3 linked regions of the Neurospora crassa OR74A genome follow. The protein of the gene in region 2 interacts with the protein of the main gene of each other region in a pairwise test. Links are inferred from orthologs where the notes say so. Each region holds a gene or a part of one and is shown on either strand. Other genes may lie near its edges. The genes, in order: NCU03637, chs-4 and NCU08067.

Region 1 (8,021 bases), on a different chromosome or scaffold from region 2:
ACCGCCACTGATATTCACGGCCTTGTCTCGGTGGACCCTGTCAAGAAGGTTATCACTGTTTCCTTCAGAGGATCCTCTTCAGTCCGTAACTGGATTACCGAGTAAGTTGAACGCCGAGTCCATATCTCGTACAACAGCAGGACCTCAACTGACACCCGTCCAGCGTCGTTTTTGTCAAGTCATCCTGCGATGAACTTGTGAGCGGCTGCCTCATCCACACCGGGTTCTACACGGCCTGGAGGGAGGTTGCGACCAAGGTCACCGCGGCCGTCCAGTCCGCCAAGGCCGCCTACCCCAGCTACAGCATCGGTGTCACCGGCCACTCGCTCGGCGGTGCCGTCGCCACCGTCGCAGCCGCCTACCTCCGGAAGGCCGGCTACACCGCCGACCTCTACACCTTCGGCTCGCCCCGCGTCGGCAACGAGGCCTTCGCCGCCTTCACCACCGAACAGTCAGGCGACGAGTACCGCGTCACCCACGAAAATGACCCCGTGCCCCGTCTCCCTCCCATCAGTTTCAACTACCGCCACACCTCCCCCGAGTGGTGGATCCAGGCCGCTGTGCCCACCACCAGCCAGGTCAAGATTTGCCCCGGCTATGCCAGCATCGACTGCAACGCCGCTACCCTCGGCTTCAAACGCGATGACCACCTTCACTACTTTGAGGACATTGCCGGTTGCTCGCCTGGCGGCTTCAACTGGAAGAGGGCTGAATCCAACGTCGCATCTAGCGACGTCAGTGACGAGGAGCTCGAGTCTCGCTTGAACCAGTGGGTTGTCGAGGATGTAAATTTTGTCAATAGCAACGACCTTCATTAGGAGCATCAAGGGTTGCAATGTGGGAATCACAATAAAAAAAGTGAAATAAGGCATGATTTGTGAATACAAGTTTGGAAGACAGCTTTGTGAATAGTAGCAATGAGACGCCAGTGAAATCACCTTCATGGATGCCTTGCCATGATTGGACGTGACCTGTGTTGGCCGTTTGTTCTTAGCTGCTGAGTGCCACTTGGTAGCAAAAAGTGATCCTAGGACTGTCAAGAAGGGCCGAACTCAAAGCGAAACAACAAGCGACGTCGTATCGCAGAAACAGAGCGAACAATCATGACACAACGTAGTCCAGTTCTTCAGCTTCAAAAGTGATCACGCCAGGTGTGGAAGAAAAGAAAAAAAGTCTTACATCTTGAAAATTTGTACAAAACAAGCTGGTAAAAGTGGTGAGTATAACAGGTCGTATTTATCATAGTGTACAAGTTTCTCGTAGCGGTACGTTCGGGTTGATCTGGTTATCGACTGCTTGCGGCACAAAATCCCGGCCATTTCGCAACCCTCCAAGGTCCTCCGTGCTGTTGGCAGTTTTTCATGACCGGTTCCAGTTGTACCAGTAGAGAGGGCCACAGAATACCTGCCTCCCCAGGTCGCCATGATTATCAGGGTCGAGTGAGTGGTCGTTGAAAAGGTAGCTGCGAGATGCTTTTCGGCATGCGATTTCGTCTCGGATCGTAAACAATAGGAGACCAAGCGCAATCCCTTGACCGTCTCTGGAGCTTCATGAACTCCTGATCTGAACAGAAACCAGCGTGCCAGACCAGGGGTACCGCAGCCGTCGTCGACATAGTTGCTCCTCGAACCCTCCATTGTGTCTCCTTACTTCCGCCTTCTCCTTTTTTTTTCCATTTCCACTCATTCACATCCCGCAGGCCTCAGTCAAGCATCTAGCCACTTAAGCACTCAACCTCAACCTCCCCTTTGCCAGCCTCCTCTTCAGCGTCTTCTGCCCATTCTTGGTCTTGACTCTGCTCAAAAAACCGTGTCTGCGCTTCTGCACCAGCCTCGTCGCCCCGCTCATCGTCGGGCGCGGGCCGCAGCGGATCTGGGAGCCCAACCCGCTAAGCGCCGGATGACTTGAAATAAGGGAGGATGCGGAGAGGAGGTCGAGAACTTCGCCGTCGATACCGGTAGTAGCACTAGGGGAGGCCGAGGGCGCGGTGATGGCGTTGGGGGCGCGGAAGATGGTACTGGGGGTGGAAGACAAGGTGGCGGGACGGAGGGAGGGGAGGATGGAGAATGAGCTGTATTCAGGGAAGTGGTCAGTTACTATGTTTGTGTTTTGGCATGCGGGTGGGGAGGGAAGGCAAGAGCAGAACAGCGTACCGAGTGGCAGTCTTGGGAAGAAAAGCGCTCGGCTTGAAAACAGCCTGGAGGGCCGACGAGAAAATCCTGGACATTTTGTCTACAAATGTGGTTGTCGCCGATGATGGTAGTGGTGGTAGTCGACGTCAAAGGATTGCGGGGGTGGAACAGGACCGGGCGAGACCGAATGCGCCGGGACGAACACAAAGCGTTTCGGGGATCCTATAGAGTGGTTCGCGACGAGCGGGCGCGGTTGCTGGATCGGCTCCGTCCAAAGTTCGATTGATCGGCCGGGGTCCGGGGAGAGCTTTTTGCACCCGGTTGCCAGCTGCTACTGTGGGAAGCAAGGGTTAGGGTTAAGTATTTCATCTGTGTTACCTCGACAATATGGTCTGCATTCGGTAATGAACCGCATAACAAGTTCCAGGTTCAAGGTTGATGAACTCCGTCCTGTTCAGTTCAGTAATGGAAGCCAGATTCTTTCTAGATTGTCTATCAAAAATTGAAGATTTAAAAGCAATATAGAGTAGGGTACTCTTCGCTGAGTGTGCTGATTTCCTTTGATTTGTGATCCCGCGCATGTCAGCCTTATTTATCAATTCCTCATCCACCTTCTCATTTGCATCATCCTTCACTGGCTTAGAGCTCATCCCGCCCAGTGGCAGTAGCAACATCAATCTTCTCTTCACCATCCTTGGCCTTCTCCTTGCCCTCAACCTTTCCAGTGGACTGCCAGTTGAGAGCCTTCAGTCTCTCGGTCAAAATGGGGTGCGAGAAGTGGTAAGTGGCGAACATCCAATCAGCATCCATAGTGCTGAGGTTCTGGATCTGGAGCTTGATCAAGGAGCGAGCGAGCTCCGCATTGTAGCCAAGCTTGTTGGCGAACTCATCAGCCTGGAACTCGAACTTGCGGCTGAGAACATTCATGCCCAGCTTGATGAGGGTGTCGGTAGGGCCAAGGACGTCCGAGAAGAGAAGGAATCCAACGATGATAGGGTGCACCGTGTGGAAGCCAAAGTCGGCATAAAGGGAGTTGTTGTTGATGAAAACGGAGAAGAGAGAGAAAATGGCGAAGAAGTGGGCCTATGCATTGTCAATCACAATTCGTGGTAAACAGCGGGATAACAAAGCAGCATCAGCTTACCTGGGAGATGCCAAAGAGACTAGTGGTGTGACCCAACTTCCAGTGACCCAGCTCGTGTGCAAGAACGGCAACAACTTCCTGGGTCTCGCTCTTTTCAATTAGGGTATCATAAATGACAATGTGCTTCTTCCAGGGCATGCCGAAGAAATAAGCGTTGCTGTGGGCACTGCGCTTGCTGCCATCAATGACGTGCAACTCGGAGAGGGGGAACTTGAGCTTCTTGGCGAGATCCTCCACGCTGCTCTTGAGCTCACCCTCCTCAAGAGGAGAGAGCTTGTTAAACAGAGGCAGAATGAAAATCGGGTAGATGGTGATCATGACAACCTGGAGACCAGCGACGAAAACCCAGAGATAGTAGAAGAACTGGTTTCCAGTCTTTTGCACGATAGCTAAAAAGCCGGCGAGGATCGGAGGCGTGAGAACGAAGGTCAAGAAGAGGGACTTGATCTTGTCGGTAATCCAAAGCTTGGCAGACGACTTGTTGAAACCGAACTTCTCCTCCAAGACAAAAGTGTGGTAGAGGCTAGTCGGTAGCGAGAGAATCTGGGAGATGACGACAAAGGACAGGACGAAGACGATAGATTGCGAGATTTCGCCGGAGAACCTGGCTGGCGCGAACCGAACGAGGAGGTTGCCGGCGAATGACCATAGCTTCGGGAGGACGTCGAACTGATAGAACAAGATGTTTTGGATTTGACCGTAGATACCGCTGAAGAACTCGAACTTTGCCTTGGCGCGTCCGTATGCCTGTATCGTGTGTCAGAGAATGGTGGCCGGTTGGCCCGTAGCCTAGGGGATATCGTACCTGACTCTTGTCAAAGACCTCCTGGGACACCTCATGCTCCAACACCTTGGGGACCTTGGTCTTCTTGAGGACCTGATACTGACGATAACCGAGGAAACCTTCGATGAAGTAGTTGGCGAGGGAGAAGCCGATGATCAGCTTCTTCCAGGGAAAGAGAGGCCGGTCGAGGAACCTCGCGAGACGCTGTCGTTTTGAGAGTGCCATGTTAGCCGGTGCACGCCTTGGATGTCAGAGGAGAAGGATTTCGCAAAACGTACCTGAAGGAACTCCATCGTCGCGCAATAAGGGCGTGTCTACTAGAGGCTCCGCCGAATGCGCAAATGGAATGTTTGTTTGTTGGAACAATGAAAGCCAAAAGACCGTGTCAGATTGTCCGCCGCATTGGTTATAAGCACAATGCCAGGCAAGGTACAAACAGTAACAACAACCTGTCCTTGCCCCAGTTTCGCTTGGAGCTTCCTTGCAGGCATGTACCGCTACGTACCCTGCTGTGTATGGCGCAGTCGCCAACACTAGAAGTTACACATGCTGATTGGGTCGGGCTACTTCTCCTTGCGCTCGCCCCGCTCGGTAAATCTTATCGATAAGCCCGGTCGTAGAGGTTCCCCCGCCGCGAACCCGGACGCAACGCTGGATTGTTCGCATGTTGCCGGGTCACCCTACAGATCTCCGAACATAACAGTGTTTCCTGTTGTCATCAAGGCGCATTTCCCGATGTCTATAGTATGTAGTCATATCGTGTGGCTTCCGGTTTATGATCTTGTATTTAGCGGTTAGGATCACGAGTATGCAAGTACGATGGGAGAACAGGATTCAACAGCCATGTGTCCTCTAGCCAGCTGACGACACCATCGCCGGGCAGCATGCTATGAAGATAGTAATGTCCTCAAGAACATGGAACAGAGATAAATGCAGGCTAGGTATTCTTCAAGGGGTATAAACATATCATAGGGCTCCTCCGATTTCTCCAGCACGACCAGTTCACTGTCTTGGGATTCTCAAGTTCGCTTGGATCCTTTCCAGTAACTGCTCCCGGGTGTCCGAATCTTGTGGATGAAGATTACGCTGGTGATCATCAAAGTTAGCTCACAACATTAGCTTCGAGTTCTGCGTCAGCTTCTAACAAACTTGAAAACTCACCAGTGCAAGCCATCTGCGCATCTCCTCGCGAGTCCATTCTTCAGGATTGCCCTTTGGGTCAGCCTGGTCTTGAGGAAACACTTCGCCTCCAAAGATAGACCATGCGGCGACACCCGTCACGATGCCGGCGAATGCTATGTGGGGTTAGTCAAGCTTCGGTCGACTGCCCGACTGTTAAAAAAGAAGCTCACCAAGAAATGCGTTCTTGCTCGCGGAAACTATCAGAAGAGATTCGACAAGCATGATTGCTTCGGGATGTTGTGTTGTTGTGAAGAGGTACTCACTCGTGATCTCAACGCTTTATCTAGTGCCGTGGGCATATCGAGTAGTTCGGAAAAGGGTTGTCTTCGTTATAAGTGGTGGTAAGGCAAGAGGGGTAGACGCACTACTACAAAACGTTAACGCCCTAACTGAGTTGTCTGATGAGGTGGCACTTGGTTTGGAACAAAAGAAGCTCTACAATTAGGACCGCGTGATTAGTTTTTGATTATATACTATCTGGATTACACAAACTGGAATCGTGTCCTCCCGAGGCCTCGACCAGATGCGACCGAGCTTGAAGGCGAACTGCCGCGCAATCCCGTCAGATGTTCCAGATGGTCTAATGGTGACTGCCTGCGACTGAGGTAAGTCGACGCCACACGAGCTCCCTGTGTCACTGCATCTCCCAAAGTCGACGCAGTTACCAAAAGTGCAGCATCAGCCACACTTGGAGCTTGCGCTAACGTCGGCAGGTGTGATCTGGCGGAAGTGACAGCGGAAACAAGGGTGCATCGCGTTAGCGGCCCATTGCCCGCACGCATCCCCACCAAGCCACTCGCACCGCCCAGGCCCCAAACCCACACAAAATTATTTCCATAGTACCTAAAATTCATCCACGCTCCTGAACTCCGTTGTCGTCGTCACCACAAGTACGGGAAGTCCAGCACCAAGTCGCCAAAATGCCTCAGGAAATCGGAGATATCAAGAAGGTACGGAAATGCCCGTCGTCATGCTGAATTTGTGCATGCATGGTGCAAATGGGCTGTTTTGCTGACTTTGATTTCAACTACAGTTCATCGAGATCTGCCGGCGCAAGGACGCTTCCGGTACGTTTGGCTGAGGGCCTGCCTGAGAAAACACCGTAGCGAAAACCGAACGAAATTCTAACAGAGACGCTTTGATCCAACAGCCGCCCGGATTAAGAAGAACAAGGCTACTCAGCAGATCAAGTTCAAGGTCCGCTGCCAGAAGTACCTCTACACCCTTGTTCTCAAGGACTCCGACAAGGCTGAGAAGCTCAAGGCTTCCCTCCCTCCTTGTACGCGCTCCCCGACCCCCGAATAATAGCTCGAGAGAGAGATGGACAAACCGGAAAAAAAGCAGTTGCGAGAAAAGGATGGAACTGACATGCGAAACTACAGCCCTGACCATCGCCGACGTTGCCAAGCGCAACAAGAAGCAGACTGCTTAAATCTCTCGACAATGAGGAACTGATGGCTGCTTTGGCGCGAACGGGAAGCGAGTGAATGACGATTTTCAACTGCCTGGTTCTGGTGCTGGACATTTAATTCTCGCGAACTAAGACGGCGTTCTCGGATCGGGGGAAACCTTCATGGGATTGGGAACAGGAGTACTTGCGAGAGCAGGTGCAGGTCTTCGGAGCAGCGTGATGACTCTTTAGTTGTCAAGGTCTCACCGACCGCAAACCAACCCCTTGCAGAGGGTCTGAATACACATTCATGAGCGACCAATTCTTGGACCCCAGACTTGCGCATTTTCCCAACCAAGTGTCAAAGTGACAAAGAGGGCACTACAGGAACCGTCTGTAGTGCTGTGTTTCCACCGACGAAGCGATACCAGCAAGCTGACTGTACAGGAAAGATTGAGACGACGCAACGAACTCTTGCGTATGACTTTCGACACAGGACCACCCGGAAACCAATACGAACTCCTCACCTCCCGTCTCGCGATCGACACTGCGCCCGCTTCTGACCAAGTGAGGATGCACGACCTTTTCCATACTCGCCTCCACCTTCTGCAGCGTTGCGGCAAAGCTCTCCTTCTTTTCAGTGTCGACCAAGAATCTCTCGACACTGATGACCGGGCTATCGAGGAGTGCAATCACGTCTTTGGCGGTAGTGGCCTGGTTATTCCCAAAGATGTTCGTATCCAAGTGGAAAAGAATCAGTCCGCCTGGCTGGTTGGGCGGCCCTTGATTTGCGATGATCTTGGTCAAGTCTGAGCCCTCCATTTGCTGCTTGTTATCGTCGCTGAGGATCCATGCCCAATGCTCCTCCACCGAGCCCCAACTCGTTGTTAGAAGTATCTGCGTCTCGTCGTCGATCCCCCGGAAACAAGCCACGGCCCGTGCCGAGGCGGAAGAGGGGCGGTCGGGAAAGGCGCGAGCGTACCATGCATCTTGGGCAGTGATGGCCCTGCTGAAGGTATCTCGGAGGGTAGAGTCGGTGATCCCGGTGTGTACTTGGATGATGGCAATTTCAGTGACAGTCATCGTCGAAATATGTTCTGCGTTAGTGATAAAGCCAGGTTGTGAGCTTGGCGGTCTGAACGCTTCAAAATGCAGCAAAACTTGAATCCGTACACAGCTTTTATGTGTGATGGTTGTAGTTCATTCGGACTCGCTCATTCGGGACGATACGAAACGCAAGCTAGGCTACCTCCAAATTCGTAATCATGCGGCACAGTTGGGACACCATACACAGTAGACAATATGCGCCTGCTTTATAAATCATGCCATCCGCGTCCCCACTTCCCAAAGAACAGAATCATTATGATGCCCTGTCGTTCAACCAACATC
Region 2 (8,317 bases):
CTAGGGTACTCTAGCTACTCTAGCTTGCTTCACAGGGTTGGTGAGACTGGCGGGATTTTTTTACATACAGAACATGGAAGAGCGGCGGGGTTAGTGTTCACCAACCCGGGCTTCGTAGCACCCCGCGCCTTCCCCGTGGCCTTGGGACATCGTCCCGTTTGTCCGTTCTCCCGAGCTTGTGGATAGGCATCTCTATCATGAAATTTTCCCATGCAATGATGCAACACGCTTTACAGGTAACCCCACGGCAGACCGTACAGGACAACACAAAAGAAAAATTCATGAATTGTCAAATGCCGGCCGCTAACAACATCGGGTAGAAATGTGGTCCAGCAGAGACGGTGAGAGAATCCCTATCTCGGATATAACATGATGCGGCTTGTGTGGACAATGAGAGGACTTGTCTTTTGTTGCATCGTTTGCTCAGAGTCAGCGCAACTTCGTATCGATGGATAGTGTCGAGGTCAGCGTGACCACCATCACTTTGACGCCCATTTCGCGCAATACGAAGCTGACGGCTTGCCCTTTTGGGGAACTGAGAAAGGGCATGACCCAATCACAATTTTTTGATCCTACACAACCCCCTTGCTTTCAAAATATTCGCCGTCGACGTTTCGACAGTTGAAACGCACGCTCAACACAAAGCCGATGAACAACAGGGAGATAAACCTTGTATGGTTAGTTCTTCTTCGAAAGTTACACCAATATTCAATACAAAAAGACTTCTTTCGACGTGCGAGTCGCACGTATCCGGGTAGACCATCAAGAGACGAAGAGCCTACTCTGGCCACCTGCAATTGGGTTGCACGACGCGGTGTAAGGAGTGTGGGATGGATGGCTTTAGTTAGCGATCACACTGACTGAAGAAGATCGCTACTACTTCAATATCAACCCCGTGGGGACGGACCTATGTGAGGTTTTTCCCTTCTCGCACGGTAGTGGATATTGGAATCTGTGAATTGCTACTAAGAAGTTGGTCCGTCTTATCCATCCAAGAACAACCACAAAATTTCAAACAACACACAAGCATGCCGAGCAAGAGAAGAACTCGTCTCAAGATTCTGACCGCTACATATGGACGAGACATCTAGTATGTAGTGTAAAAGGGGATGGGGAATAAGCGAGAATATCTCGCGCGCTCCATGCAATATATGTACTGGGTCTCCGTAAACTTCTCCCTGGTGGTTTGCCCAGACAAGGCGGGGGAAAAACGTGGGTACCACGGCTCGAGACTGGGGTCATGGAGGTTCATGGAGTTCATCTGAATTCCAGGGTCCATGAGTGACAAACTGCACTACTGTACTTACTTTCACACTAGTTTACGGTGGGGACGTAAAGCGAGATTGACGCTCCCAGACGGCCTCATTCGATGGAAAATCACCGAAAATGAGGTAGCCCCGCCTTGACCGACTGCTACCGGGCTTGATATTGTTAATTAGTGATCTAAGAACGAGGAGGGGCTTCATCGGATACGAGAGACCTCATGCCGTCCATTCTCTTGTTTAGTTGTTCAATATCCTCCAAAAGCGTAATCATAAGAGGGGGGGTGTCTCACGTGAATGACACACAGCACTCACCAGTGCCCATTTAGTGTACAATACAGGGAAGAATCAGTGCGGTGGATCCGGGGTGTGCCCCGCGTTATCCCGACGTCAATGACGGTGAATGTCATGCATGCCCGGCTCGGCGTGTTGATGCACATCTTTTATGCACATAATACTATATTTATATAGAAATTCCCCATTGCACTATGGGAGACCGCGTCCGGAAAGACACAAATCAGGTTGTACACAGTAATTTTGAAACCGAAGAACTCAACTGGACTTCTCAAGGCGCCACGGTTTGCGCGCGAGTTGTGGGCGGGATCACACGCTGTGCTCATCTTTTCTCCAGCCGCAGCTGAGGCTCGCTCCAGTCCAGTCGAGCACTCCATCGCCGGAAGGCTACCGGAGCTTTACACACTTCTTGACTGAATTGTGAGATGCTTTAGTGGGCGTGACCGGCGCCCGCATTTGAGCGCGGTACAGCCACTTGATATACCGCAACTCGGTTTCAGTGTTGCCCCAAGGCTCCGGGCTAGTTCGGGGTAGTTTGCGATGGCAGCCATTAAGAAATGAGATGAACGATGCGTCCCGTGGCGAAGCCGGAGACATTGATTGATCAAGAAAGAAGACTGAGTGCGAAGTATGCATACAGTGGGGAGTTTCGTGAGGTTCCAGAAGCGCACCGTGTCATGCGGCTGGGATTCCACTGGAGAGCGGAGCGCAGATCGCCCAGAGCCACTGCCCCTGCACTTCGTTGTGGTAGATCATCAGACGAAACAATGAGAGGCAACCTGAACATCAACTGTCTGTGAGTTCATTGCCAGCTACCTACGTCTATGTAAACAAGCCGGAAGTTTCCCTCCAATTTCTTCCATGTCACCTCGGACATCATGCCGACCACACTTCATCAACCCGTCTCACATGTTGCAACTTTGCCGTGCCGTTCGTACCAAACCCGTTCCTGGGTGAACATCGTCCAATCTTTGCGCTTTGGTCTAGAATTGTGACTAGGCCACTTGGAGTTCCCACTGCCATCCTAGAATAGTTCAGAGCTACATCCCAACAGGCACAGAGGCGGTGTTGCGCATTTTAGTAATTCGAGTTCCCCACCGGCTTTATGAGCTCTTCACCTTTCTCTCTGCCGGATTTTGTCCATTCTGTAGCTCGTCGTGAGGTCATGCTTTGCTTGTACTAGAAGTGACGGTTGATGCCTCTGGTGTCGACCTCATCCACGCCGTCTCTGTGCTCTGCACATTAACATCATAACCACCGAGCTACTGCATGGACTAAGCAAGTACGGTACCCGTAAGATCGGTGCTTGGTTGCATCGACCCTGCCTTCCCGCCGCCATCCCAAGTATTCCCTGGCACTTGTACCTGGGAGAAGACGCCCGGCAGCTTGTCAGAGCAGGGACCATTACGATGGAACGGTCCGCTCTGCAGAACGTCGAACTTTTCAGAATTTCGCAGGGCAACCATCGCGAGCTGGGCGCTGTGGGGTTTTAGCCACGCGCTGGCGCGGTAGGTGTTTGAGGGAGAACACGACCTGTGAGAGTGGAATCGAGGAATCTGGATTGGAAAAAGGGACAAGAAAATCGAGCGGGTTGGGCGAAGTTGGTTGCCATAGTGCGCAGCTGATTGCCAAGTGGAATTCCTTCCTGGTCGTCGGGTTTCTCTTAGAGGCTCCTTGGCTCCGTCATGCCCTGGAACGAAACAGTCCATCAAGTTAACAGGACGGGCGTTTGTCATTGGTCCAACTGTTAAGAGCGCCTGCGCCCCCCTTCTACCTTCCCCTTCTGCCCTTCCCGTCTCCTGAACAACACCGTTCGACTCTGCTTTTAGGCCTGCCTGGGCGGCCCACTGCAGTATTCCCAACCTCCCTCGTCGGTTCCGCATTGCAAGCAATTGGAACTGGGACGAGCCGCGTTCACAAAATTTGTAAGTTGGGTTCTCCATAGTAATCTACCTCTTTCCAGTCTGCTGGTATTCGGTATAGCTTGAACTGTGCAAAACGACCGACAGTCATCAGTTCCCTTGTCTTGGCCGAGGCTCATCTCGTCATTTCCTGGGCCGACTGACTGCTCCTTGCAAGTTGCGACGCGGCCAGTGACGTTGGCTCCAGTCTTCCACGACAAACCTTCTTCACCAAACATACCAGCGACTCTTCAGCCTTGCATCGATCCCGGACTCACTAACCGTCCCGCTCCATACAGCATCATGTCTCTTCCTCGGAGGCCGGGGCCGTCGCCTCCGCACGAGGAGCCACGCCGCTACCGGCAAAGCGGTTCGCGCCGCAGTCGACCACCACCCGCCGATGTTGAGACCGGATATGCTCCCATGGCAGGAGAAAGACCAAGCCAGCAGCAACGCGTACCATCGATATCTTCATTTCCGGAAACCCTCCCGTCCCCCAACCCCAATGTCGAACGAGACCCTTTGGCGCCCACCCCCGAGCCCGCACATCCATCCGGCATACCTCAGCGGAAGAGGAGTTTGATTCGACCGGAGCGCAACAGGATTGGCAAAGACCACCCCAACTATCACTACAGAAAACATGCGGCCAACATGAACACCCTACCGTCCTCAACCGGACACGACCCGATATACGAGGATCTGGAGGGAGCAACGGACGATGTATCGGGAACTGGCTCGAGGAACGACGACGATGTTTCCGAGGAGTCGCCCCCAAGAAGAAAGCACTCGACGAAAATGCAGGTCATCGAAACTGAAAAGTCCGGTGATGAAAGACGACGTCGGCGGAAATCGGATACCACAAAACATGGTAAAATTGTCAAGGCCTCCAAGGGAAAGCGCGAAAAGTCCGGAGGACTCCCTACCCCGAGCTTTTGGAACATTTACTGCGGATTCGTCACCTTCTGGTGCCCTGGCTTTGTCCTCAAGTGCTTCGGCATGCCCGAGATGGCTCAACAGAGGGCGTGGAGAGAGAAGATGGGTCTGATCAGCATTATTCTGCTCATCATGGGCTTTGTTGGCTTCATCACTTTCGGCTTCACCCAGGTGGTCTGCGGTAAACCTCCGCTCCGTTTGCGCATCAATGAGGTCGGGTCAGGATACATGATCTTCCACGGATCTGCATATGACCTCACCAAATCTCACCATCCTCCGGCCGAGGGTATCCCGCGCCGTCCGGACGGTTTGGGTGCAAACGTGATCTATGACTTGCCTCAGCATTACGGTGGACAGGACGGCAGTTTCTTGTTCCAGAACGTCAACGGCAAGTGCAAGGGTCTCATCACCAAGCAAGAGAACTCCGATGTGCCAAGCGATAAGAGCGGCAATCTGGCGTGGTACTTCCCTTGTAACACGTTCAACCAAGATGGTTCATCCAAGCCCAATACCACGATACCTTATTACCTGGGCTATGCCTGTCACACGACCGCTAACGCCAGGGACTCTTTCTATCTCGGCCTCAAGAGCTCCGCCGATGTCTACTTTACGTGGGATGACATCAAGAACAGCTCTCGAAACCTTGTTGTGTACTCTGGCCATGTTCTCGACCTTGATCTGCTTCACTGGTTCAACGACACTCAAGTCACGTATCCCGCCCGCTTCAAGGAGCTGAGGGATAAGAATACTGCTGGAAACCAGGCTATTCGTGGACGCGATATTACCCATGCTTTCCAGTCGAGCAAAGACAAGCAGATTGCCGAATGCTTTGAGGAGATCATCAAGGTCGGTTCGGTGGATACCGAGACAGTTGGCTGCATTGCGTCAAAGGTCGTTCTCTATGTGTCCCTCGTCCTTATCCTCGCGGTCGTCCTCGCCAGATTCGTCTTGGCTCTAATCTTCCAATGGTTCATCAGCAAGACGTATGCGGCTGCTAAGACCTCCCAAACGTCTGACCAGCGAAAGCGAAACCGTCAGATTGAAGACTGGACTGAAGACATTTACAGAGCTCCCCCAAGGCTACCAGGGGAGGTCGGTAGCAGTGTCGCTGGAAGCTCCGATCGTCAAAGCAAGCGCAGCAGTGCTTTCTTGCCCACACACTCTCGTTTCTCCACCGTCTACGGCAATGAGCGCGGCAATAGGAAGCCTGGACTTCCTACAACCATGGCCAGCCAGAATGCCGCTGGTCAACTACTCCATCCTGGAACCATATACGGCCAAGGAAATGAGAGTCGGTCAAGCTTCCTCAAATCTGATGCTTACGGATCAAGCAGCAGTCCAGCAGACGGCCCAGGTCCTGCCGGATTTATTCATGAAGCTGTCGTTCCTCAGCCGCCTTCCGACTGGATGCCGTTTGGTTTCCCCCTCGCTCACACCATCTGCCTTGTCACAGCCTACTCCGAGGGTGAGATGGGCGTTCGTACCACTCTGGACTCGATTGCAATGACGGACTACCCCAACAGCCACAAGGTTATCCTCGTTATTTGCGATGGTATTATCAAGGGCCACGGAGAGGAACACTCAACCCCCGATATCATTCTCGGCATGATGAAAGACCACACGATTCACCCCGATGACGTTGAGCCATTCTCTTATGTTGCGGTTGCAACTGGTTCTAAGCGCCACAACATGGCCAAGGTCTACACCGGCTTCTACGATTATGGCACTAACTCTGCCATTCCTCTGGAGAAGCAGCAGCGTGTTCCTATGATGATGGTTGTGAAGTGCGGCACTCCTGCTGAAGCCTCCAAGTCGAAGCCTGGAAACCGTGGCAAGCGTGACAGTCAGATCATCCTTATGTCTTTTCTCCAGAAGGTTATGTTCGACGAGCGTATGACGGAGCTAGAATACGAGATGTTCAATGGCTTGTGGAAGATCACGGGCATTTCTCCTGACTTCTATGAGATCGTGCTCATGGTTGACGCTGATACCAAGGTCTTCCCCGACAGTCTCACGCATATGATCTCGGCCATGGTCAAGGATCCTGAAATTATGGGTCTTTGTGGCGAGACCAAGATCGCCAACAAGCGAGCAAGCTGGGTTTCCGCCATCCAGGTATTCGAGTATTTCGTCTCTCATCATCTTGCCAAGGCTTTCGAGTCCGTCTTTGGCGGTGTCACCTGTCTTCCCGGATGTTTCTGCATGTACCGCATCAAGGCACCCAAGGGTGCCCAGAACTACTGGGTCCCTATCTTGGCCAACCCGGACGTTGTCGAACACTACTCCGAGAACGTTGTCGATACGCTGCACAAGAAGAACCTCTTGCTCCTTGGTGAGGATCGTTATCTCAGTACGCTCATGTTGCGCACGTTCCCCAAGCGTAAACAAGTATTTGTGCCTCAGGCCGTTTGCAAGACGACTGTCCCCGATGAATTCATGGTGTTGCTTTCGCAGCGCCGCAGATGGATCAACTCGACCATTCACAATCTGATGGAGCTCGTTCTTGTGCGCGATCTTTGCGGTACCTTCTGTTTCAGTATGCAGTTCATTGTCGGTATCGAGCTGATTGGTACCCTTGTGTTGCCTGCCGCCATTGCCTTTACTTTCTATGTTGGTGAGTAGCCACCAACCCCAGTTTTCTCTTCCTTTCTTGTTTGACCAACTGAAAACTAATGTCCGATACCTAGTCATCATCTCAATCATCAACTCCCCGCCACAAATCATTCCTCTTGTTCTCCTTGGTCTCATCCTCGGTCTCCCAGCCATCCTCGTCGTCGTCACAGCTCACAGCTGGTCCTACATCATCTGGATGTTTATCTACTTGCTCTCCCTGCCCGTGTGGAACTTTGTTCTGCCTACCTACGCTTTCTGGAAGTTTGACGATTTCTCATGGGGCGACACGCGCAAGACGGCCGGCGAGAAATCAAGCAAGGGTGGCCACGGAGAAGCCGAGGGAGAGTTTGATAGCAGCATGATTACCATGAAGCGCTGGGCCGAGTTTGAGCGCGACAGGCGCGTCCGCAGCACGTACTGGGCCGGCTCGAGGGACAATGTCATATCCGGGGTAGGGGGTAGTAATGGGTGGGGAAGCAGCCAGCCGAGAGGCCATGAGCAGGGGAGACACTTTGATGACTACTTTTCGGACGCTTAGGTTTTGATATGGTGTTGCTGTGTAGGGATGCCTTTGTTTTTTTTAAAGTATTACTGTTGTAGGGTAGGTAGGGTCTTTGTTCGGAGGTCAGGTGTTTGTTGGAAAAGAAGGGATCCGATTATCGAACCTGCCGGCCTCGGTTTCTTTTCATCACGTTCATCATGGACAAGGGCGATATTAATGTGGAAGTTTTGGTTGATCGGTTGGCGGGTGGGTTTTCTGTCGATAGGATTAACTCTTAGACATTATTATGTGGAAAAGATTTATTTTTCTTGGCATACATTCGTGATGGGATACCACTTCTTCCGTTCATCTATCCAGTCACAAGAACCGCTCATGAACTTCGCCATACTGCATCAGTAAGGAAGTAAGCACGAGCACATGAGAGCGCCACAATAGGCTGACTACCATGTATGTTTTCCCATATTGAATGTAGCTATCCGAAGGCAGACAGGGGGCAGCTATGTCTACTATCTAGACAGTATCTCTGTTCTGGTAAATTTGAATCGATGTTTGGGAGCACAGAGCAGTTTAGGCCAGGCGAACAATGGGCTAATCTTCCCTCCGACCCTCCTTTTAATAACGCTTTAGAAGTGGTTGCTTGTAAAAGAGGGGGTCACATCATGAAGTGAGGGAGGGTGTAGTGTAGACAGTTTTTGTCAGATATCTAGAACAGAGTATTGGAATGACCTGATCGACCGACTGACTGACTGACGACGCCATTTCTTGCGTAACCTCCGGCGAGAAAACCCAGGTAATAATGTTGGCGCGCCGGA
Region 3 (8,519 bases), about 4.1 Mb from region 2:
GGTCTAGCCCAGTTGGATATGGCGACAGTCCTTGTCTGTGTTCGAATGGAGATATGCGGATAGTCGTTGCCCCGTGTTGATCTGGGGAAGCGAAGAGGCAAAGATGAAGACGGTCGGAGGGGGAAAGTGGAAAGCCGAAGAAAAAAAAGACGATCCGTCGCGTTTCTTGTCTTCGCGCGTCATAGGTACCTACCTAACATGCCGCCTAGACTTAGTGTGTATGTACCTACTGGGGGAGCCTTCCCGATCCCGCTGTGGGGGACACTGCAGCCCCCTGAACGGTGGACCCTTTTGGTGGGACAACCCGTGCACTAACCTAACGGCTGCCCTGTGGGGCTGTTAGTGCCGTGCCTTGCATCACCCCGCCTTCAGATTCCATGTCTTCAACCCCATCTTCCGTTGTCCTGATCTTCAGCTTCCGCCCTCCCAGATCCATCTCCCCCCAAGCAGTGCCGTACTACCTACCACCGTTTTCCTCTACTTCGACCCTTCAAAACGTCCTCAACTATTCGATCACAGACAAGAACACGAGCTGGGCAAAGCAAGGTCAACTAAACGAGCACGACGAGAAACGTAGGTAGCGAACAGAGTCGTCGTCGAGAGAGCTGAAGAGCCACGCTTCCGGCTTCGGATGATTCAGACCTGGCTATAGGCGAATCTTGAGATACATAGGTAAGAACCCAGGCCGAGAAAGAATGGACACCTCATCGATGTCGAATAGTCAAGTTTCTTGTGGTGGAAATTGTAAACATATGGATAGTAAGAGCAATATGACGAGAAGGAGCACAAGCGGCCTACGGAGGAAGATTGGCACGATGGGTACCATCAGAACCAGAGCGGTGACGGCGTAGAATAATACCTACAATGAAACTGGGTGCGGAGATGGATGAAGCTACGTAAGTTACCAACAGAGAGCAACGCAATGAACTGGGGAAATACCTCTAGAGTAGAGATGTCAGTTCCTTGGACGGGCATGTTTGCAACCAATCTGCTATTGCTTTAGCGGACTACTACAATTGTAACAAACTACCTATGTAGTGTACATTCATAGCTGTCTTTGTCACTAGGTGGCTGGCTGTTTCCATGTTGGACCATAACAATGTAAGCAATATCCCTGTCCGAGATGTGATGGACATGGGTAGTGGTGATGAGCGACCTGGAGCGAGGTTAGGTAAGATCCTCGCATCTCCACACCTTCGCTCCTGGCTAATTTCGATAATCTCGGATTTTCCTCCATCATGAAGATTGGAAATTGGCGATTGAGACCCGCAAATTGGGAGGCAGCCAACAAGCTCAATTAATCATCGGACTCGGTACATTATCGATATCATGATCAAGCGGACTGTGTCTTCATTCTCTACAGGTAGGTAGTTCCAACATCCCCAACTCCGGCCGCTGGATGTTCAATTGCTGCTTGTGGGTACATCTCCTTTTGGGTTCACAGCCTCCATCCGTCCGTCCATCTTCTCTCCGTTCCTCGCCATGCATGAAATTCGTAAAAACAGCACCCATTTCCATCTTCCCCCGCTTTTTTGTCCTGTTCCCTCTTCCATTGCCATTCTCCAGTAGCGGCCTATCCTCTGCCGTAGCTGCCGAACGCAAAATAGAAGACATGTAAAGTTGATACAAGAACTAGTGTAACACGAGAAAGGAAAGACATTGAGAAAAAGGGTAAGAGAAGATAGAAAAATGACATTGCAAGAAAAAAGGGAAAAAAAACTCCATTTCCACCCAAACCTTGCCCCGTCCGCATCCAACATCCGGTTTCGCCTTCGTTTCCAAACGAGCCACGGTTTTTGGTGTGTCGCATTACGAGTCCCGTGGGTGGTCGAGAAGAAAGTGTAACGTTAATGTGGGTATAAAACGCCGACTCAAAAGAAAGATAGATAAAAGAAAAAAAACCACTTCATGATTTTGTTTTGTACTGGCGGTTCACACGCCAAATCCTCTCTTTTCAAAAAGACGAAGAAAAACCTCAACTCCATCCCCGACCCATTCAAGCCCGCTCATAGCAAAATCAAGTAATTGCTCGGCGCAATACCCGTTTCTCCATTCTCCTTCCGTGCCTGCCACCACCGCCCGCTCACGTCGCTAATCTCCAGCACCTCATGCTTGGAGAAACTAATCTCGTTGGCATCGTCCGGGTTGGCCTCATAGCTGAATATCGCCTTGGCCCTGTACGGGTACTCCGTCGGCGGAACGATCTCCCCTTCTCCTTGCGGCTTGGGGATGTTGTTGGACGAGAAACCCTGGGGAATCTGCGACTGGCGAGCGGGGTTTTCGAGCCCGTTGAGCTGACCCGTGTACATTTGCGGAGGCTGGAGGCCCGAGGCCGAGGTTTCAGGGCGCATGTTGTAGGAGCCGTAAGCATTGGGAGAGGAGAGACCGTTGTGGTTCATGGTTTGGCGGCTCATGTGATGCGCAGGGAGGGTGGATTCCTTGGTCAGCGCAAAGGAGTCGATGTAGGCACGGGGAACAGCCGATGGGGCGGAGCCAAAGTAGAATATCCAGATGATCTGGCGGGACGTTAGCAAATGGGGTCAGCCAGCTGGGGGAAGTTAGCGGGGAACCGCATACCGTCACCATGGACAACAAGATATACCCAGCCGCTGTCGCCTCCATGGACGCAACGCCACTGTAAATCAGGTTGTTGATCGACGACGTGGAGCCGACCAGCCCGACGGCCAGGTAGCCAACGATGGCGACATGGTAGGTCTGAGCGCTGTCCGAGGCGATGACGATGAAAATGCCGAGAATGAGGAAGAAGTTGAAGACGAGGGTGAACCAGCTGTAGGTTGGCCAAACAATGACGGGAGCCCCATTCGATCCGTCATTTTGGTCCCTAAAGCCAAAGATGGATCCAAACAGGATGATGATCCATGACAGCTGTGGTGATTGTCAGTTCGTGAAGGCGACAGGACGGGAAAAGGGTGGACGCCAGCGCGCGCGCGTATGGAAACTCACAGTAGCAATAGAAGTAGTGGCCAGAGCAAATGGGTCACCAATAATGTTGCCCATGTCTATGCCTTTTCGGCGGTACGAGTTCCTGCCGTGTTCCATTTTGGGGTTGTTGAAGGACGGGGGATAGTTAACCGATCCTCCGTACGATTGCATCAAGGGCGAAGGTCGCCAAGGAAGAGCGTCCTCTCGGGATATTCGAGGTCCGTGTTATAAGTGATGGACCGACGTGTGTGGGACACTTTAGTTGACGCACACCTTCACTTGGGGTATAAGATGACGGCGAGGGGCCGTGTGTGTGTCGTATTCCGGGGACCAGTCCGCGGTTGGTAATGCGATGTGTTTGTTCTGCAATGACAGATGCAATGTCACGAAAAAAAAAAGAGAGGAAGTTCGACGGCGACAAGTGGTCGAAGTCGAAGCAAGAAATTCGGGTCGGGTAGCAATTGTCGTTTGCTGCAAGACGTTGAGCGAGGAATTCGGTGTCCAGCAACGCGGTATGGCTCGTCTCGGTCGTTGCAAATATGGGTAGGTAGTAATTGGGCGATGTATGGAAATGAGTCGAAGGTAGGACAGTTGCAATGTTATTGAAAGATTGGGTGGTCGCTGTCGGGCTGCTCCGTCGGGTGTTTGTTGGTTGGCAATCCGCAAAGAGGAGGCTGAGTCCAAGGGAAGTGGCCGTCGGGTACTCCAAGGACACTCAAGACGAGGACAGAGCCTTTGAATCTTCAGGGGAAATAAGCAACGAGTCGGTCGCACGGGTCGGGAGATGTGACGGTACGGTAGTTGTCCGTTGGAACGAATGGCGGCGGCGGTACGGTATGGGTAGATACGGTAAACACGCAAGATCAATCGGTAGTTGGAAGAAGGGCGGTAGAAGAGTCCACTGGAAGTCTGGAAATGGTCCTGGATTCCTTTTTCCTGTTTTCTTTCTTCTTTTGTTTCCCTTTTTCTTTGTTTGTCCGGTGTATGACGGTAGTCGGGTGTGATATCTCGGTACCTGCCAACGTCGTATTGTACTATCCCCCCGTCTTGTTCCGGTTCGCGTTAATAAAGGGCTCAGCTCAGCTCAGGGTCGGACAATCGTATGCTGTCGTCGTCGTCGTCGTCGTCGTCGTCGTCGAGGTTGATGAGGTTGAGGGAACGAAGGGAGCGATTGATGGATTGAGCAAATTGTTGTTGGACGTGGCTGGGGCGATGATCAACGCCGGCCAATGGAGAAGTGAAAGGGAAGAAAAATTGAAGGAGGGAACGAACAGAAATGAGGGGATCGCACGGGCAGGACGGACGGACGGGGACGTGAAAAGGGAAATGGTGTGTGTGTGGGTGTGGGTGACGACGGCTGGGTGGTGGTGGGAGATCCGGAATGGAAGGCCAACGACGGGGCCTGGCTGAGGGACTCCGGGGCGGGCAGCAACCGGGGGGGGATGAGGTGGCTGCTGCTGTGGAAACGAGTGGACGAGACCGCGCAAGAGAAGTGAGGAAGGGACCAACAATGGAGCCCACTGAATCCACTGAAGATGGGGGGGAGCCATGTCCGCTGTGGAGGCTCTGGACTCCTGGAGTGCGTTGCCTGGCGGCTGCTCGCTGCACAATGAATGAATCCTTCCCTTGCAGTGACATAGGTACAATGTCCGGGCAACACGCGGCAACACTGCGAACGAGCCAATCGCATTATTGCATTTGCTGGGCTAATGAATGCAATGTCCAGTCAGAAGAGGCACGGTCCTCAATCTCACTGCAAATCGTTAGGCCAAGACATTCCAGGCGCTGCTTACCTACTGTACCTCTAGCGGCTGTGTGGGGACGGGAGCATGGAGCAAATTAGAGGTACACAGACACAGGGCGGGCTACTGTAGCAGCTCGATTTCTTTTTCTGCACTTTTTGACAGTCTTTGTAGCTGATGGTGGTGATTGATGGGGAGTCATACCTACCTAGAGGTAGACTCTGCTTGGGTGATTAACCTGTTCAAAGTGAATGATGGCTCTAGGGTACTGGGTCATGGCCAGGACATCTTTATTTTTATTCTTGTTTTCTTCTTCCATCTTGATATATCTTACCTCGACACTGTTCAAACTCATAGTCAAAAAGTCTCAAACATTCACAACATTGTAACACTCGGAAGTCAGTCAGGCAGCTAGCCATGTGGCTTGCGTCTGTGCTCCATTCACTCATTGCTAGGTCGTCCAGAAACATCGTGACCGACTGTAAATGATAGGCTGAGAGCTGGCTACCATGCGACATCACTCAGCTGAGCTCGGTGACGGGCAGAAAATGTCAACAGAGAGACGGATTCACCATGCCACGAATCCACACCCATGCAGCATGCAGGCAGGGGCTTTAGGCTCGCCGCGTGAGTTCTAGGGCAACGCCGTTCGTTTCGGAATCCCATCTGCAGGAGCCAAACAATCACTGCCGGCTATCAAGCGTGTTTGTGACGTTTGTAAAAAGCCTCTCCCGTGAATTCTCATTCCAGATAGAGCGCTACCACAGCACCGTCGATCTGGTTTTTGTCGGTGCTAACGGCGAGCAGAGTGTTGATATCGGCTGAACATTCCAGTGGGCCAAAGATGACGCCCGACTCCCGCGCATCTGTCGCGTGATATCTGCCGCGCAATGACATCTGCCCCATTCCCTTGGTCACTAGCATTGTTCTCGTACGAATGTGCCAACCACTGTTGATCTGCTCTTCACACTTCGTAAAGTGCACGCGCGCTACCAACGGCGTGTCGTATTCCATACGCACAACCCCAGTGATTTGTTCGCGGTCGCCTAACCTGTTGATCAATCGTGACGCCGTTCTCTAGCGGCGGTAAAATGGCTTCCGTGTGAGTTTTGTTTCCCGCAAGCCAAAATCCATGCTCCTCCGCTTCACTAGCCATGTATCGCATAATCTTGTCTCGAACCTCCTCTTTGCCTTCTCACTCTATAGCGGCGTCCATCTCCCTCACCCTCTCCGCTCTCCTTACCCTCAATTCGCACTTTTCCACCCTCGCTTCACCCTCCGCCACAAACTTGCCGTACCCCAGCACCCTCTTCTCATACCATGCCTTCATCACGGCTTCGCTCCTCTCCCTGAGCTCCGCTATTTCCGCCTCTTGCGCCAACTGCATGGCCTCCAGTCCCTTCATCCGGGGTATCAAGCTCGCCAACTCGGCCGAGAGTTTGCTGTCGGGAATCGCGGATTCAATGGTGTTGGCTGGGGCGGCTGCAACTAGGGCGGACGCGGTCTGGGGAAACTGGGAGGCGTAGGAAAGGACTGTCGCGAGAATGGCAGCAGGCGGGAGGTCCGTTGGTGGGAGCTTTTGATCGGCCGAGGGGGAGGTGTGGAAGAGTGTGGGGTTGGCTTTGTCTGGTTTGGGGCCTCTGGTTAGCTTTGAAGTGATGCGAAATGGAAAGGTGGGAGACAGAGAGGGACGTACGAATTTTAAGCAGCTCGGCGTACACGCGAAAGCGCCGAATGAGCAGATTGAAGCGGTGTTCAAGCTGGGCAAGAGAGGTCGTTGCGGAGGAAGAGGGCGCTTGCGTTGGAGGGTCGGAGGGGCCGTAGAGGATGTGCTCGATCCGCCGGAGACGGGATTCGAGGAGGGAGATGGTGGCTAGAGACGTTTTGTCGAGGCTTGAGGTTTCCTGGGAGACGTCCATGGTGTTGGTGGGCGAGTTCTGTTGGTAATTGGGGTTATGCGATGCGGTATCGGTGGTATCGGTTATACCCGCCTCGAGGGGATGTCGCAAAGATGAATTAAGATGGTAAACAGAAGCTGAGCTCAAGCAGTGGCAATTGTCCAGAGGAAAAAGAACCTTGACGGCGCGTGTCTAGACCGATGACGGGTCGTGTAAGGCTGTAAGGTAACATACCGTTCAATTCAACCCCGCCTCCGCATCCCGGACACCGCCCGTTGGACAGCGACTGGTGCCCGGACAACACAAGGCCCTGCTCCTGGACAGTGGAACACTGAACAAGCTACCTACCACTGTAAACTCTCATAAGGCTGGAGCTTGGCTTTTTTGATCTTGTTATTTCAATGACCCCCGATAGTTCACCGCTGATCCACCTGGAAGGCTTCTCTTCCCCTGAACGATCTTGTTTCACTCGTAAATTACACTCGTTGGATGTTAGTGCTGCGGTGTGGAGTTAGTGACGGAGTAAGGTACCGAACCCGTAGGTACCTACTATGTACAAATGTGAAACAAAAGGCCCGTGTGACTGAGCAATGACAGTGAGCTTGGCGTTCGCGGTACCTTTTCTGTAGAGGTAGCTGACACCTTCCCTGGAACCCCCATCGAATCCCCAGAACAAGGAAGACCCGTCATTCCCGTCTGTGCTGGCGCTGTTCTCCATTGCCCACGTTGCGTGGATGTCCTTGTCAGCTCGCTAAAGTTGGCTTTTCTACTTTTCTTAACAAATAAAGTCTCGTCATCATCATCGATCCCTTTTTTTTCTTCCCGTATGAGTTATCGAACACGCGACCATATCATCCATCCAACATCGGATCGAATCGCCCCCGAATAGGCACTCTGCTGCTGCTTTGCAGACTTACACTCGCTTTCCCCGATGCTGTGACTTGATGACAGTCGACGACAACTGACGGCGCCGACTGCCCACCATCACTCGGTACTTATCTTCATTGAAGCCTCGACTCGAGCACCTCATCGACCCCGGCGATTACGATCCGGTTGCGATACGTCGAATCCCCCTTCCTTCCGTCTTTTCGTTCCTGAAGGCTTTGGGCGTATCAGCACCGACTACGAAACCCATCACTTATCCAAACCAACATAACATCCCGCGACACCACGAGACGGTCCCCCGAAAGAAAAAGTGATATGACCAACTATCATACTATACCCAACAGCGGCCTTCTAGGGTCGAGTCACGGTGTCGGAGGAACCATGGTCCAGTACGTTTGCGCGACTACCTAGGTAGTTCCGGCTCTTCTGGTCGACATAGCTGACGGCGCAATGTCTAGACAACGAAGACTCCGCGCCCCCAAGCTGGGTGGCGGCCAAGCTTCCATGATGAGCAGCAACATCAACCTGCTGAATACCAGTGCGTCCCAAGACCTTCGCCCCCCAAAAAAGACATGTCTAACCGGGCAACAACACAGTCATCGGGGCCGGTACCCTCGCCATGCCCCACGCCATGTCCAAGTTCGGCGTCACGCTCGGCGTCATCCTGATCGTCTGGTGCGGCCTCACCTCTGCCTTTGGTCTCTATCTCCAGTCACGCTGCACGCGCTACCTCGACCGGGGCTCGTCTTCCTTCTTCGCGCTGTCGCAAATCACCTATCCCAACGCCGCCGTGGTGTTCGACGCGGCCATTGCTATCAAATGCTTCGGTGTTGGCGTGTCGTACATGATCATTATCGGTGATCTGATGCCCGCGGTGGCGGCAGCGTTCGGAGCGGGGAATACCGGCTGGGACTTTTTGGCTGACCGCAGGTTTTGGATCACCGTCTTCTTTGTCGTCTTTCTCATCCCGCTGAGTTTTCCCAAGAAGCTGGATTCGCTCAAATACACGAGTCTGGTGGCACTGTTTTCGATTGGGTATCTGATCATCCTG

The links.
Region 1: the proteins of chs-4 (region 2) and NCU03637 interact in a two-hybrid assay, tested with the Saccharomyces cerevisiae proteins (2 studies listed by BioGRID, with this or other methods). The link is inferred for Neurospora crassa OR74A from reciprocal best matches to the Saccharomyces cerevisiae genes CHS3 and STE24.
Region 3: the proteins of chs-4 (region 2) and NCU08067 interact in a two-hybrid assay, tested with the Saccharomyces cerevisiae proteins (2 studies listed by BioGRID, with this or other methods). The link is inferred for Neurospora crassa OR74A from reciprocal best matches to the Saccharomyces cerevisiae genes CHS3 and SHO1.

What each region holds. Positions count from the first base shown.
Region 1 is NC_026505.1:1,908,718-1,916,738, reverse strand, and holds NCU03637 (CaaX prenyl protease Ste24), read right to left. Parts: upstream 4,542-8,021; 5' UTR 4,354-4,541; coding exon 4,339-4,353; intron 4,265-4,338; coding exon 4,082-4,264; intron 4,024-4,081; coding exon 3,277-4,023; intron 3,216-3,276; coding exon 2,772-3,215; 3' UTR 2,517-2,771; downstream 1-2,516. Other genes in the region: NCU03639 (lipase), read left to right, coding at 1-101, 164-818; NCU03638 (hypothetical protein), read right to left, coding at 1,723-2,071, 2,154-2,227; NCU03636 (hypothetical protein), read right to left, coding at 5,063-5,146, 5,222-5,355, 5,413-5,464; NCU03635 (60S ribosomal protein L38), read left to right, coding at 6,163-6,192, 6,276-6,309, 6,393-6,521, 6,625-6,674; NCU03634 (hypothetical protein), read right to left, coding at 7,014-7,715. UniProt on the Saccharomyces cerevisiae protein: Proteolytically removes the C-terminal three residues of farnesylated A-factor mating pheromone. Also acts to cleave the N-terminal extension of the pheromone. Does not act on Ras.
Region 2 is NC_026501.1:4,236,559-4,244,875, reverse strand, and holds chs-4 (chitin synthase 4), read left to right. Parts: upstream 1-3,152; 5' UTR 3,153-3,760; coding exon 3,761-7,004; intron 7,005-7,077; coding exon 7,078-7,541; 3' UTR 7,542-7,819; downstream 7,820-8,317. Other genes in the region: NCU16382 (hypothetical protein), read left to right, coding at 1-4; NCU09323 (hypothetical protein), read left to right, coding at 1,029-1,090, 1,319-1,391, 1,734-1,973. UniProt on the Saccharomyces cerevisiae protein: Polymerizes chitin, a structural polymer of the cell wall and septum, by transferring the sugar moiety of UDP-GlcNAc to the non-reducing end of the growing chitin polymer.
Region 3 is NC_026501.1:153,874-162,392, reverse strand, and holds NCU08067 (osmosensor protein), read right to left. Parts: upstream 4,357-8,519; 5' UTR 3,115-4,356; coding exon 2,965-3,114; intron 2,887-2,964; coding exon 2,578-2,886; intron 2,517-2,577; coding exon 2,007-2,516; 3' UTR 1,277-2,006; downstream 1-1,276. Other genes in the region: ro-10 (RO10), read right to left, coding at 5,881-6,311, 6,382-6,604; NCU08066 (amino acid transporter), read left to right, coding at 7,784-7,857, 7,927-8,006, 8,065-8,519. UniProt on the Saccharomyces cerevisiae protein: Plasma membrane osmosensor that activates the high osmolarity glycerol (HOG) MAPK signaling pathway in response to high osmolarity.